Linked DNA regions of Lonchura striata. The protein of the gene in region 1 purifies or fractionates together with the protein of each later gene. This does not show direct contact. Links are inferred from orthologs where the notes say so. Each region holds a gene or a part of one and is shown on either strand. Other genes may lie near its edges.

What was found.
Region 2: the proteins of NPM1 (region 1) and NCL purify together in Homo sapiens (affinity purification with mass spectrometry; 8 studies listed by BioGRID and IntAct, counting the BioPlex papers as one, with this or other methods). This does not show direct contact. The link is inferred for Lonchura striata from reciprocal best matches to the Homo sapiens genes NPM1 and NCL.

What each region holds. Positions count from the first base shown.
Region 1 is NC_134617.1:17,420,631-17,428,342, forward strand, and holds the start of NPM1 (nucleophosmin), read right to left. Parts: upstream 3,001-7,712; 5' UTR 2,900-3,000; coding exon 2,836-2,899; intron 2,147-2,835; coding exon 2,067-2,146; intron 1-2,066. UniProt on the Homo sapiens protein: Involved in diverse cellular processes such as ribosome biogenesis, centrosome duplication, protein chaperoning, histone assembly, cell proliferation, and regulation of tumor suppressors p53/TP53 and ARF.
Region 2 is NC_134612.1:18,077,038-18,084,491, reverse strand, and holds the start of NCL (nucleolin), read left to right. Parts: upstream 1-4,434; 5' UTR 4,435-4,550; coding exon 4,551-4,568; intron 4,569-5,129; coding exon 5,130-5,237; intron 5,238-5,814; coding exon 5,815-6,091; intron 6,092-6,413; coding exon 6,414-6,563; intron 6,564-6,912; coding exon 6,913-7,095; intron 7,096-7,301; coding exon 7,302-7,388; intron 7,389-7,454. UniProt on the Homo sapiens protein: Nucleolin is the major nucleolar protein of growing eukaryotic cells. It is found associated with intranucleolar chromatin and pre-ribosomal particles. It induces chromatin decondensation by binding to histone H1.

The DNA.
Region 1 (7,712 bases):
CCTGAAACCCCTCACAAGAAATCTTTCCAACCCCCACAGGAGATGTAGGTGTGAACACTTCAGGCAGAGGCACGGAAGTTTCCATTCTTCAAGAGCTGAGCTTTAATGAGACTGTAATTGTCCAGATTTAGATGTATCAGACTGAAGGCTGGAAAACAGAACACTGGATTCACTACTGGCAAATTTTGTTATTAGCAATTCAAAGAGGTGAAATTGCAGCTCTGATCTCACCTCTCAAATGTGCTGTCAACAACACTGAATTGCTCAGCTAGTGGGACAAAAATTTTAGTGCATACCCTGTCATTTGCCCTAGTTTAATACTATAGCAGTTATTTGTGATTTATTTCTCTGTGTTTGGCAAGCATCCATGCCTGTGCTTTAACTTCTATATTGAAGGAATGCACACCAAATAGGTGATGAATCAGTGACCATCCCTATACACAACTGTCATTAGTAAGACATTTACAGAAACTCATGGCACTTTTACCTCCTACATTTATCCACCTCTTTTCCCTTTTACCCTTTTCTTCCCATCTTGCTGTACCTCATGCCCAAGTCCCCCACTGCATTTGTATTTTAACACTGTCTTTACTCATCTAGGCTTTTATCGGGAGCATAGACCAGCCCGCAGGTTTTTGCCGCCTTTACCTTTTTTTAAGTCCTTCCTCTACTCAACAAGGTCTTTTGTTTAAACCATGTCTGAGACCCTCCAAGTATCTTAAACATTTCCTAGTTTGTCCTTTGGTATCTTAACCCTTTCTCCAGTGCATCATCCCTTTTTATTCTATGGAAAGAAGTTACTGACAGAAGATTAATTCCCCCCACAAGCCTAGCAACAAAGTAGTGGTGAGGATTGATCTGCTTCATCCATCTGTACAACATCAGAAGAAATGCTACAATTAATTTTGAAAGTATAAATAGAAAAGGAACTCTTGAGTAAAACAATACAATTTAAGTATCACTAATTTTGGCTATGTAACAAATATTCAGATACAAGAAATCTGCATGTGGACTTGCCCTATACATTGCTATGTTCTTCCATCAAAAGGAATTGTAATTAACAACAAATTACTCTTTGTCAAGTCCAGGCTGTACTTTTCATAATATAGTATGGAAAACACATGACTCACATAAAAAAAAGAAGTGTTTTAAGTAACACCATTAAGTGTTTGGAGATACTCATTATGCAAGTGACCTCCAGGAATCAATTCTCCTGTAGGAATTAGTCAACAATTTTAAGACTTTCTTCTTCCAGGCATCAAAGCATTTCCTTGCATTTAAATAAACACAGGAACATGCCATGAAGATGCTACAACTCTTTAATTTCTTGACGGCTAAGACAGTGCACATTATTGATTTGCTACCCAAAAAAAACATGATCAGCCAAGAACAAAAGCCTTGAAATATTGTGTCTGACTTGTGTGGCCTCAGGAAGCTCCAAGGACCCACCCAAGAACTCCTGGGAGTCTGCTAGATGAATTATCTGAATGAAAGATGGGGCTTCCCAGTTACATCCTTGGAAAGGCCAAACCAAGGACAGTAAGTCAAAACATAAACCTTCTGCTGTCTAATTTAGATTTACTTATTATCTGCTTCTGGGAAAGAGAGAGTTAGAGTCAGCTTATGGAACACACTGAAATGGTTTTCAAAATCAGGTTTATAGTAGTCCACAAGAGTGTGCCTATGTATGACTCTTACACATCTATCTTTCTCCCTCTGCTCCTGTAGCATCTGCATTATTTACCTTAGGGATGCCTCATGTATAGCCTAAATTCTCAATTTAGCAGATATTTACTAGCTAACTGTAAGTTGATTTTTAACGTTTTCCAGCCTTGCATTTGTTTGCTGTGAATGAAACATCAGTGAAGAAATGTTTTCAATACAGAAAATATCTGAAATTACAGAATATGCCCCACTGCTAGTAAGAGATGTTTACTTTATACAGATTTACATATCAATTATCACCTGAATTATGTTTGGAGAAATAAATGACACGTTAAAAAACACACCATCACAGCACACCAGTATATTTAAATGGGAAGCAAAAAAAAACAAACACTACTTGCCGTTCTTAGTGACAACTGATGTTCGTTTTCTTCATCATCTACTTTGAACTGAAACTCCTTATCTGCTTTAAGCTCGCAGCCTGTAAAACAATCCAATTATAAGCCTCCTGCTTTATTTAAAACAGCATTACTTGGCAGCTTGCTGCTCCCAGGCCGCGTACTCGCAGGGAAGTAGCGGCACGCTGCGGGCACGCAAGGAGCGGAACACGTGGGGTGAAGAAAACCCCGCGCGAGTGCGCGGCCTGCTGGCGGCCACGCAGCTCCCCGCACGGCCCGGTTAAACCCAGCAGCTTCCAGAGCATCCCCGCCCAGCGTCCGCCGCGGTGCCCGGGACGATGGCACCTCCGGAACCGCCGCCGTGGCGGCCGGGCCTGCCCCGGAGCAGCAAGGCGCGCGCGGCCGCGGCGCTCCACGTGCTCCGCCTCCGGCCGCGCTGCCACGTGCTCCGCGGGCGCTGCCGGGGCGCCGCATCCTTAGGAACGGCGGGACACACCGCGAACAAAGCGCGGAACAGAGCGCGACGGGCCCCGCCACGTGCGGGCCGCGCGCCACGTGCGGAGTGCGCGGAAGCGGCCGCCGCACGCCCCCGGCCCCGCCCGAGCCCCCGGCCGAGCCCCCGGTCCCGCCCGAGCCCCCGGCCCCGCCGCGCGCGCGGAGCGGCGGCGCTCGGCCGGCACAGGCCGCGGCCCCGCACGGCGCTCGGCCCCGGGGCCTGCGGGGGCGACGGGGCCAGCGGGCCCCAGGAAAGCGTGGCCGCGGCGAGCGTTACCGAAGAGGAAGGTCTGCGGGCGCAGGGGGCCCATGCTCTCCATGTCCATGGCGCTGTCCTCCATCGCGGGGCTGGGGCACGACCGACCGGGAACACTACGCTTCGGGTGGACGCGCACTAAAGGAAGCCTCGCGCCCGCCCACTCGCTGATATAGCCTCGTGTTCTCGCGAGAGCCGCGCGCTGGGCCCGTCCCTCGGCGCCCCGCGCCGCCCTTGCGCACGCACGCTGACGGTGGTCGCGCGCGGGCCGCCAGGGGGCGGGGCCATGGCCGTGGCCGTGGCCGTGTGAGGGGCCGAGCCCGCCGCGCCCGCAGGGCCCGCGGCCGCCGCCGGGGAGCCGCGGGGAGCCGCGGGGAGCCGCGCCACACGTGGGGCAGAGCCGTGGGTGCGGACCGCAGCGTTCCGCTCCCGGCCGCGCAGCACGCGCGGACAGCGAAGGGGCGCGGCCGCGGCCCGGGCCCGGCTCAGAGCTTGCAGCCGCGCCGGCCCGAGCGGCTCCCCGGCCGCAGAGCCGTGCTGCGGTGCAACGCGCCCTGCTCGCTCTGTGGCGGCAGCTGGCTGCTGCTGCCATCTCTGACTAAAATCATACAGGAACGAAAGCAGCTCCCTTCCTGTGCGTTGCCTGTCAGGATGGGCTCCCATCCCGAGCTACTGCTCCCTGCGCCACTGGCTCTGAAGGCCAGGGACAACAACACTCTGGGAACCTCCTTTTCAGCTGGCGGATGATGGGGGCAAACCACTTTTTAATGTGAAATTAGCGCACGGGGAAAGCTGTCACAACAAAGTTAAAAGTTCTAGGGTTATTTTATACGTAGATCTACTAGTCCTGGAAGCACTTGTTTGCCACCGTGGTGGGAGCCCATCACTGCCCCTGGGCTGGGTTCATCATCCACACATCCCAGGCCATCGTGTCCTGGGGCTGATCTGCACAAGGGTCACTTGTGTACTAATCTCACACTTACCTGAACACTTACTCTGCAAAAATAAAAGTTTATAGGCTCTTGGTGCTCTTACCTCCCTTCTGATTTGAAATGTGTAACTTGTAGAGTTACCTTCATTGGAATTCATAAAGGATCAACATTAAATGATGTTGCTGAAAATGAGACAAACTGAAGAATAACTGGCACAATGGGAAAATGAAACTTACGCTGTCAAAGACTCCCCTTCCTCGCTCTTCCATGAAGCTGGCCCCTTTGCAAACAGCAAATGCAGTTCCACAGGATACACATGGTTTCACCAGGATATGATCCCCTACCATCCTATTAACATTAGGGCAGGCTGTCCACTGAGGTGTTTCTGGTGGTTGCCACAGGCTGACCAAAATTCAATAATAGTTAAATTGTGTGTGAAAACAAGGTACAGGAATAAATTGGAGCACAGTTTAGCATATGAGTGAGGATGGATATTCTGTGATTCTGTGATTTACTCCCCTTAAAGTCTCACAAGGAACCAGAGAACAAACAGTGTTTATTTCATTTTCTAACATTTGGTTTGGTTAATTTCTTATTACCTTTACGAAGTAATTACTGCTGGGTAGGAAGAGTGGCAACTATGGGAAAATAGTTGCCACTATAGATACACCCTCAGCTGCCCTAAGATACGCCCAGGGATCTGTGGAGCAGCAGAGGCAGAAATTCCAACAAGTGCAGTGGCTGGTGTCCCTGGCAGAGAGAGACATCATTAACTGATCAGACATCTCAGCCTTAAAAGCTGCAAAGATGCAGATAAGGCATTTGTTTGGGCTGGATTGAAAATGGGAACTATTATCTAAATTTCAAATGAAGTTATGGCATGAGGCAGATGTCAGACTGGAGCTGGAAGGTGAATCCTACACAGTAATAGTGGAAGGGAGTGAATTGCATTTACCTGTAGTGCCAGCAGGAGGACATGGCTGCTGGCCAAAGCCACCAAAAGTCCTGCCCCGCAGGGCACTGAGCAGCTCACAAACTGCAGCTCCAGAAGTCCACCTGGGTCTGCTGAAGGGAACAGTGGAACCACAGCAGATTCTCCTGTCTGCAGAGTCACGTTCAATACAATTACAGTCTTCCTTTATGGAGGAAATAAATGTGGGAGGAACACACACAGAGAAGAAAAGCAGGGGTAGGAAGTAGGAGATATATGCTTACTGTGTCTCATTTGGCTCCATAGGGATTTAGAAGGGTTGTCATATATCATGACATTTATTATTTCTGCCATGGTACTACGATGAGAAGTCCATTACAATATCGATCATTTTATTTTGCTTGGCTCTGTGCTGTGTAATACTCGGCATGGCAGAAAAGGCTTACAAGTGATTTAGAAACAGCCATACAGGGACAACTAGGAGAAAATCAGAACTTTGCTTAATGGAATTCTCTTTTTAGTGAACATGTACAAAATTCAGGAAATTTTATGTTGAGCATGATTAAAACCACAGTGCAGTTGTAATCAAACGATCAGAAGGTATAGAGACAGTAAAGATTTCCTATGCAATCTTAATTTCCATGCTGACGTAATGAAATAATCTTCAGCTGCCCTAGCCCATGGCTGTCACATAGCCTCTCCACTGGCCTCCCCCGCCCTTCACTAGTCAACAGTTTCTGTCCCAGGGCCAAAATCTTAACTGGCATCAAAACACCATTCTTGATCTCAAAAAAAGATCACTTGCACACCAGAAAATCCAAGTATTTCACTTTAGCCTGAAAGAACTGCATATTGCTGTCCCCAGATAGGGCAGCAAGAGGCAGGTGTTGGCTTTCCTGGTCCCATGAGCTGGGGCAGCAGCAGGAGCAATGTGCTGTCTAGGCACTGCAGGGGCAGCATGGACAGAGCCGCCTGGCTGGGTGCCAGCTGAACACCCTGAACACAGGTGAGAACTGCATCTCCTGGGGCTGCTTTGGGAGGATTTGACCTTGCATTTGTAATTTCCCTTCACCTCCAGGCTGGTTTGCAGCCAGCGCAGGACAAGGAGCTGGGATGGAGGGACCATCCTTACCTGGTTGTCTTCTTTCTTACCCACAATCTGCTTTTTGCTGCTGAACCTGCTGTAAGTAGCACTGGAAGTTTTCTCCATCTTCCCTCTTTCTGTAGTGCCTATTCCATCCCCAGCTTTGCCTGTAGCATATTACTCATGCAGAGCACCATAAAGAGCTGTATCAGAAGGTCCTTCAGCACCAAAGAATGCTGCATAAGGGAAGCAGAGGGAGTCTGGTGCCCCAGCTTCTGCTTATGGCAGCACAAGCCGGTGCTGCTCCATCTCTTCTATGGTTTTGCATAAAGCTTTGAGAGGATTCTTCTCCTATTAAGGCCCAGTTTCAGACATACAATTGTAAAAGAGAGGAATGGCAGGTGAGCCAGGATATCCACAGGGGAGGCACTCAGGTATTGCAGTGATGAAATGAAGTAAGGTTACACAGATAGATTACAGGTGTCAGTGTCCACAACAGTAAAAATTAAGATAGCCTGAAATGTCTCTATTTTTTTTTTTCTTTTTTCTTTAAATATTCAGTACAGAATAGCCTCTAGGTCCTGGCCATGACCCTTCCTGGCTATTGCAAAAATTAACACTGTCCTGACTGAAACTGGGAGAAAAATCAGGATACTTTAAAACTTTGTGTGTCCTGCAGGTCTCAAAGGTGAGGCCACTTCCCAGTAGGAGGAGTAGGAGTTTGGAGTTGGTGGGGCTGGCATGGGTCAGGAAGGGGGTGGCAGCAGAGATCTCCATCAGGCATGTGTCTGTAAGGCTGGCGAGGCAGACTGCACCTAACATCCTCTCCCCAGCGATGCCAGCTGCCCTTGTGCCACGAGCCACGACTCCCCTTGCAATATCATTTGCTGCTGTGTGCTGAAGCTATACCTGCTGCCAGCCCATGGCACTGCTCTGCTTGTTACACTCCATGAGCTTGATCCCAAAACAATGTTCTGCATCACTGCCAGGGTACATGAGTTCTGCTGAGCACTCATGGGCAGCCAGGGCCTTGGAGATGGGAGATAACACCTGATAGTCCACATCAAAGTAGCCTTTTCTGGTGGTCCCTTTTCACATCTACTCCTACTGCAGCACAAGCTTTGAAATATTGTCCCTGTTCCCCATGGTTCCTGCAGGGTGTAGAAGAGCAGACATAAGGCCATGGGGTGGGGCACAGCATGATCATGTCCAGTTCCTGATTTTCCTGTGTTTGTTATTCTCCATCTCTGAGACACCTTCCTGTGCAGCCCCCCGAAGTTACCAGGCTAGCCCACATCTGTAAGGCCTTGAGGGGAGAGTGTTCCAGGAGCTGGGTGAAGATTCCAAAAGAGGCTCCAACCCCCAATGTGGTCCAAGATGTTTATTCCATAGGAGGAAGAGGGAAAGAGAGAGAACCAGGAAGGGGCAGAGCCTTATCTAGGCTCAGTACAGTAAGGGCTACTTGGCTCCCAGCCAATTATGTCAGGAAAGGAAGGAAGGGTCAAACTAACAGGTCACAGCTACAGAGGTCTCTGGGGAGGGAGAAACCATTCCCCAGAGCAATACAACCCATTCTACAGCTTCACTGCCAGAGCCTGAGGGGCAGGTCCATCTGGTGTTTGAGCAGCATGCAGGATGCTGTTAGTCAACCATAGCTCTGTGCAGATGCTCTGGCTGTAAGCTCAGCTGTTCCCTCGTCTTAGCGCTGTCGTTCCCATTTCAAGGTCGACAGCACCATCTAGTGATCCCAAATCAGCTTCCTCCATGGCTGCCTGCCTTCTCCCAGGTGTCATCCATGCCCAGGTGTCCCAGGTGAGGTTTGCCTGTCTGTGCCTACCTACTACACCCTTCCTACTAGAGGGTTGTTTACTGGAAGGTCTTGCATGGGGAGACTGATTTCCCTTGGCCACTGTCACAGACCTCAGAGATGGGATGGCAGGATCCAAACTAA
Region 2 (7,454 bases), on another chromosome or scaffold:
TTTCCTTTACTCCAGTGGAGAGAGAAGGGTGCTCCCAAGGTCTCCTCTCACCACCCAAATTGCTCCACATCTCCCAATCCTGGTTTTTCTTCTTTATCTCACACCTACTGCAAGTCCTCTTCTGGTCCCACTTTTTTCTCACGCATCCTTTTTTCCAGGGCTGCACTTGTTCTCTTGCTGAGCAGATCCAGAGGAGAGTCCACCTGGCTGGGAGGCTCTGGGTGGCTGTGTGGGCTTGCTGGGGGCTCACAGGCACACCACAAGATCCTGCTGCCAGCTCCAGGCAAGGCGTGTTGGGGAATGGAATTGGCCTGCCACAAGGGAAATCTTAGGGGAATTGGCTCCTTCTGGAAATAAAAATCCCCTTCTTTTCTGCAGTGTACCAGAAATTATCCCTACAAGGAATACTTGGAGGGCATGTGGAGACTAAATTTGCATGTACAAAACTCTCTGTGGGAGTCACCTGTAGGTTTCCTTGTCCATGAACCCCAGGAAATGCTACAGCATCTGCCAGAGTGACAATGGGTATGCCTGTCTCCAGGGTCCCTTGCCAATTCCTGCAGCATCCCTCCTCAAGAAAGGATACTTCTCAGAGAAGAAATCCCATACTCTGCCAGACACTGCTGACTTTCATCCCTGCAGGCTAGTGTGTCTCAAGCTGCCCATTTCAAGGCAGAGGACGTGCACTTGTCTGTGACTACTTGAATTAAGTGCCATTTGTCACAGCAAGCTCTGCACCCACTTCATGCTCATCATCCTTGAGGACTCTCCTCTTGGCACAGACAGGGGGATAATGAAGAAAAAACTTAATTAGACTACCACACAGTCCCATCTAATTTTCTGTCCTGCATTAATCAGGGCCTGGGGAACTGTGCAGTTGGGAAGAGAGAGGACAACCCCTGAGTGCCTGGTGCTGCTGGGTCACCATCCATCAGCTGTGGTACCTGCTGGCATAGGAGCACATGACGGGGTGAGGTGGGCACCAAGAGGAGAAAAGGATTTGCAGCATGGGGTTGTTCAAGAGGTTTTGAGCAGCACCTAGACCTAGGATTAGTAAATTTGCTTTAATAGTGGTTTTTGGTGGGGTTTTATTTGTTTGATTTTTTTTTTCTGCCACCTTTGCCATGCTGTACACATCAGATCACTGCTCAGACCACACAGCAGGTGATGTCAGGTTGAGGTGCTCAGGGACACATTTCATTGCTCTTCTAGCTCGTTTCCCCTTCTCTGAGCACCCACTGGATGTTTGCTGGAGATCCCTGACAATTTTTTTTTGGCAGCAGACGCCTGCACCACCCACAGGTAAAACTTTTCCTCTCCCGAATGCACTTGGTGCTGCTGCTACCCGGCGAGTACCAAATGCGTCCTGGGAGGCACGAAGGAGGCAGGGCGGGATGCGCCGCTCAGGTGCGCCCAGCAGGGTTTGGGGGAGCCGGGACACGCAGCCTTCTGCCACCATCTAGTGGAAACCCGCGGCGGCCACAGCCTGAACGGGGCGTTTGGGAGCGCTCCCTCACTCACCTCAGCTGGGATTCCCCTCGAGCTGGCCACCCAGTTTGCCTGGCTTTTGGGTGGCCGCGTTTGCCTCGCAGCGCAGTTCCCCCCTCCAGGCCCTGGGCAGCCGCAGCCGGGTAGGGAAAAGCACAGGGTGAGCGTCTGCTATGCCAGAAACTGAGAATCCACGGCAAACCCCTCCTGGGGTCTCCACTGAACCAGCTAAATTCCCTTTAACTGTGGAATTATAGCAGCGCTCCCCAGCCACACACATGCTACAACAAGAGACAGCCATAAAATGACCTAAAGTGTATTTACTGCACAAATAGAGCTGTCAAACCTGCTCTTTTGGCCAAATTACCCTTCTCACTGATGCTTCTCTGTGAGACTTCCCTCGGCATTTGAAATTCCTGGAGCTGCCTGCAGAGGAGCTGGGCTGTGCTGAGCCACAGCAGGGACAGCCCTGCAATATGGTGCGTCCCAAGGCTGGCCTTGCTCCACTCCGGCATCATCCTGCCCAGTGCTAGGGCTGAAAAATCCTGGCCACACATGGGATACAGGGAAGAACCCAGCCTAAACACTGGCATCTGCAATGTCCTGGGCCCTTTTTGGCCATAAGAGCAGCTGGCAGGGTTGGGCCATATCCAGACCTGCTCAATGGTGCATGGATAACAGTGCATGGACTGACACAGAACATGGATTAGCACAGAGCATGGATTGATATGGAGCATGGATTGGCACAGAACACGAATTAGCACAGTGCATGGACTGACACAGAGCATGGATTAGCACAGAGCATGGATTGATATGGAGCATGGATTGGCACAGAACATGGATTAGCACAGTGCATGGACTGACACAGAGCATGGATTAGCACAGCCTCATGGCCAGTGCTGGTTCTCACTCCTCTGCACGGGGTGCTGTGCTCCTTCCCCAAACACTGGGCTCTACTGCAGCCTCACAGATACCAGAGGCAAGGACAACCTTCCAACACACTGCTGGGGAATGGGACTGAACACAGGCCATACTGAGAACTCCCCTGCCAGGGTTGGGAACCAAGACTAGCCAGCTGCCAGCCCAGCCCTTTGCAGATCCCACTGCTGGCACTGGTATTGGCCAAATGCAGTGTCCCAGCTGCCAAAACTGCCCCTGGCTAAAGCAACAGTTGTACCTTTATCATGACAAACCAGCAAGGCCAGCCCCAGCACAGGCAGCAGAGCTGTTCAGGCAGTCATGGTACATGATCTTGTTGAACCACATGCGTGGTGAGGAGAGTGCAATCAGCTCTTGCTTCAGACAGTTAAAAATCACTTTCAGGTCTCTCTGTCTTCCATTCCATCACTTTGCATCCCCTTGGGCCACACTTAGTCTTGTGTCACTGCTTTCCCCATGCAGTGACCCCACTTGGGGACAGCTCCTGCAGCACACAGTGGGACATGAGCCAGACATTGCTATTTCACAGGCAGGGTCCAGCTGCCCTACACAAGGGTTTTGCCAGCTGGGATCCCCATCTGCCTGCATGTGTGTGACCAGGACTGGGACACAGGCAGTATCCCACTTTGTTCCAGCTCCTTCCCTCCCCATACTGGCTGATGGTGGCAGGCCCTGCACAGGCTTGGATTACTCCTGGAGAGGCTGATTGATCCCATCACCTCTCAGTGAGCAGCTGCCCTTAGCTCAGCTTGCCTGGAAACTGCCTCTTCTTAACCAGCAGAGAAAGAGGCATAGGACAGCCTAAGAGCTGGGTATATTGCCTCAGCCACAGTGTGGCACTGAACAATCTTGGGGTGCCCCCTCAAAGGCACCAGGGCCATGCAGGATGGCACTCATTGAGAGTCTGCATTTTTATTCCGGGGCTCACTAGGATCTCATGTTCCCCAAGTCAGGTGCTTATCTCAAGTAGGCCATGGATGAGCAAGCTGCTACAGTCACCCATGCTTGAGTCAGGAGCCCCCAGGAGCTGGCTGGATGCCCAGTTTGAAGGGTAGGGGAGGTAAGGCAGTAGGGAAAGCCCAGCAATGGAGGCCACTCTGTGTCAGGTAGTGGCAAGGCAGCACCCAGCCCGGCCAGCAGAGTGACAAGTGAAACAGGGGTACCGGGTCTGCCCTGGGGTCATTTCTACCCTCAATTTACAGCCACCGGGGAAAAATTCCACAGGGAGAAAGGTGGTGTCTTCTTGCAGTGACTGCATTCAAAAGCATCCATCAGGCAAGCACAGGCTTATTTTTTTCTTTCATTTTGGGCCTTTTCTCCCAGCTGAAGGAGTGAAGGCTGGCAGCTGCAGAGTGCAACCACAACCTCGACAGCAGCAGCAGCAGCACACTGACCGGCTCCTACGGAAGCTCCTTCAGCTGCCCACGGGTGCTTTGTGCTTCCCGAGGGTCGGGGAGGGGATGCGGAGCCAGGCAGAAGTGGGTGGCAGAGATAGCGCTGGGGCAGAGACAGCCCCAAAGCGGGAGGCAAAAGCGTGTTCGGGCAGAGCGGCACGCCGAGCTGCCGCCGGGGCGGTCGGGGCCGCCGTGAGCGCCGGGCACGGCGGCGTCTCCCGGAGCCCCGGAGCCCCGGAGCCCCGCCCGGGCCCGGCACGGCGCCGCGGCCGCCACGTGCGGCCCCTGGGCCCGGCCAGGCCGCCCGGCCCCGCGCATGCGCCGCGCCGCCGCCGTCCCGCGGCCTCCCGGGCGGGCGGTGCGTCCCCCCCGCGCTCGGCCCCGCGGCTGTAACGCGCCCTGCGGTTGGCCGATCGCAGAACGCCGGCGATTGGCGCGGCGGCTCGAGGGGCGGGGGCCGCGATTGGCCGGGCGGCGGGGCGCGCGCGGCGATTGGTCGGAGCGGGGGCGGTGGGGGCGGGGCGTGGCGCGGGGCTAGCAAAGGGGGCGGAAGGGGCGCGCGCTCGCTCTTTCGTGTCAGTGCCCGGCCCGGCCGCCCGCGCGTCCCCGCCGCTCCCGCTACTCGCCCGCGGCCCGATCCCCGCCGCGCCGCCGCCCCGCCGGACGCGCCCGCTCCGCTCCCGACACAACTCGGCCGCCGCCCCTGCGCCGCCAGGCACCGCCGCCATCATGGTGAAGATCACCAAGGTGAGGGAGTGGCGGAGCGCAGCCGCCGGGCGGGAAGCGGTCCAACGCCGCCATGATGGGGCGGGAGGGTGCGGATGGCGGCGTATCGGGGAGGAAGCCGGGCCGCCTTCTCGCCGCCGTCCGCTCGGGCCGCGCGGCGGCACCTGGCCTGTTCTCCCGAGCCGTGAAGATGGCGGCGAGGGGAGGGGCCGCGGGCCCGGAGGCAGTGGATTCAAGCCCCAATTGTCCCGCTCTGCTCCGTGCGGCGGCGGCGGGAGGGGAGCGGGCGGCGGGGCGGGGGATCCGCGCGCGTGTGTGCGGGACGCGGGTGGGCCCCGCGTGCGGGCGCGCGCGGGGTGGGGGGGGCGGGGCTACGTCACAGTGCGGCCACGTGGGGCGCGCGGACAGCGAGCACGTGGGGGCGCGCGGAGCTCCCGGGAAGGCCCCGCGCACCGGCGGGCGCGGCCCCGCCACCGCGGGGCGGCCACGTGGTGGGGACAATCGCCCCGCCGGAGCGAGCGGCGCCCGCAAGCGACCCGGGTGAGCACGGCACCTGAACGTGCTGCTCCCGCTCTCTTGCAGACCCCGAAGAATCAGATGAAACAGAAAAAAATGGCTCCTCCCCCGAAAAAGTTCGAGGAAAGTGAAGAAGAGGAGTCCTCTGATCTAGACGAAAGCAGCGGAGAAGAGGTGATTGATCTAGAAAGGGGAGGCAAAAGGACGCACGTGTTACACAGAAGTGTCGTGAGGGTTGTGGGTTACACTGTAACAGGCGTTTAATCAATAGTCGGTGTTTCTCTATAAATTGTGGCTAAAGAATAAAGTGGATTTTGTAAGAATAAAGCATTATGGGGAAAAATAGCTCAGCTACTGTGTTTCCAAGCTTTTGGAAGTGCTTCTGATGTTTTAAAGCCATACTAAAGCTGATAAGCATGTGGGTACCTAATTATTCTAGTAATCAGCAGTGTAACATTTGTCCACGTGTGGTTTATGTGCAAGTGTAAAAATTCCAAGGTATAGAATGCTAATAGACACAATTGGTCTTTGTTCAGGACCAGGGAGTTTAGAGGTGCTTTGATGTTCCATAAGTAGGCTTCTGAAAGCATGAAAAAGCTGTTTTTGACCTTTATTCATCTGAGTGGGCATTTAAGGTAAATTTACAGAACCTGTCAGGTTACTCTGTAGATTTCAGTTGCTGTATGTTTGATAGTGAAGTAATGGTAGGTTAAACAGGCCAGCATGAATCTTACACTAATGTGTCTTTCAGATGATCCCCCAGAAGAAACCACAAAAAGTTGCTGTTACCCCAGCCAAGAAGGCTGCAACTCCTGCAAAAAAAGTTGCTACTCCTGCAAAAAAGGCAGTTACACCTGCAAAGAAGGTTGTGGCTACTCCACAGCCGAAAAAGGCTGTTACTCCAACTCCTAAAAAGGCTGCTGTCCTAACCAAAGGAGCAAAAAATGGAAAGAATGCCAAGAAGCAGGAGAGTGAAGAAGATGATGAAGATGACGAAGATGATGATGAGGAGGATGAAGAAGATTCGGGTAAGTTACTTTTGAAATAGGCATTGACTAAAGCTGGTTCAATCAAGTCATTAAATATGAGTCCCTTTGGAATTGGAAGCATTTGTGTGATTAATACTTGGGGGAGTTCATTGATTAATGAGGGGTTATGAAGGAGAGGTGGGCAATGGGTGAAGTTTGGAGGAGAGCTTGGGCTGCAGCTGCCTTACACACGGCGTGTAAAACATCTCCTAGTTTCTTGATTGCCCTTTCCTGAACTTTTGCGCAAAATTTTGGGAAGCTCTAAGCACTTTTTACCTATACCACTGAACCTTAGTAGTAAAGACTTGTACTGTTGGTGCAGATGAGGAAGAGGAGCCACCAATGCCTGTGAAGCCTGCAGCCAAAAAGCCTGCAGCAGTACCAGCCAAAAAGCCTGCAGCTGTGCCAGCAAAGCAGGATTCTGAGGAGGATGAGGATGAAGAGGATGATGAAGAAGATGATGAAGAAGATGGTATAAGATGTTTATTATTAAACACTTTCAGGGACCTGGGGGAGGGAGGTTACTTAAAGGATAATGGGATTGATGCAGTGTGTGCTCGGCTGGTTTTAGCTGGTTGCTGTTGTCCATGTTGCTGAAAGGATGTTAATTTCCCTTTTGTCAGTAAAACTTCTTACTGTTGGTGAACAGGTTTTGGGGTTTTTTTTAATGCAGTAAAACACAAGGCAGAGAGACAATTTTCCTGGAAACATACAAATTTCAGGAGGCATGAGAAACATCTTGCTTAACAGTATTTTGTTTTCTTAGTTTCAAAATATGCTTAATGTGGAACTGTCTGAATACCGTGCTCATCTTGTTTCAGAGTCTGAAGATGAAGCCATGGACACAGCCCCTGTTCCAGTGAAAAAAGCCACTCCAGCCAAGGCTGCACCAGTGAAAGCCAAGGCAGCAGAATCTGAAGATGAGGAAGATGAGGATGATGATGAGGATGATGATGAAGAGGAGGAGGATGAAGAGGATGCCGAAGAGGAAAGTGAAGATGAAAGTAAGTTTAAGTGGCTTTGAGACTCTTTAATAACAGATATGGTGCCTAAGCAGAAATGTGCTACAGTGGCCTTTTGTACTGAGGAGCAGCTTCTGAGTAACAGGAGAAGATCTTGTGTATGAATAGTGTAAGGATTAATGTTCCTGTATTGATGCAATTCAGGAAAAGTTCTGTATTTTACAGTGTTGTTCTGTTTTCTGGCACAGAACCTGTTGTCAAGGAAGCACCTGGAAAGAGGAAGAAAGAAATGGCCAATAAAAGTGCACCAGAGCCCAAGAAAAAGAAAACAGATGGTAAGTGGTGTGGGATCCTCATATGATGCTTGTTTAATGGATTGTGATTGAATTCTGTTGCATGAG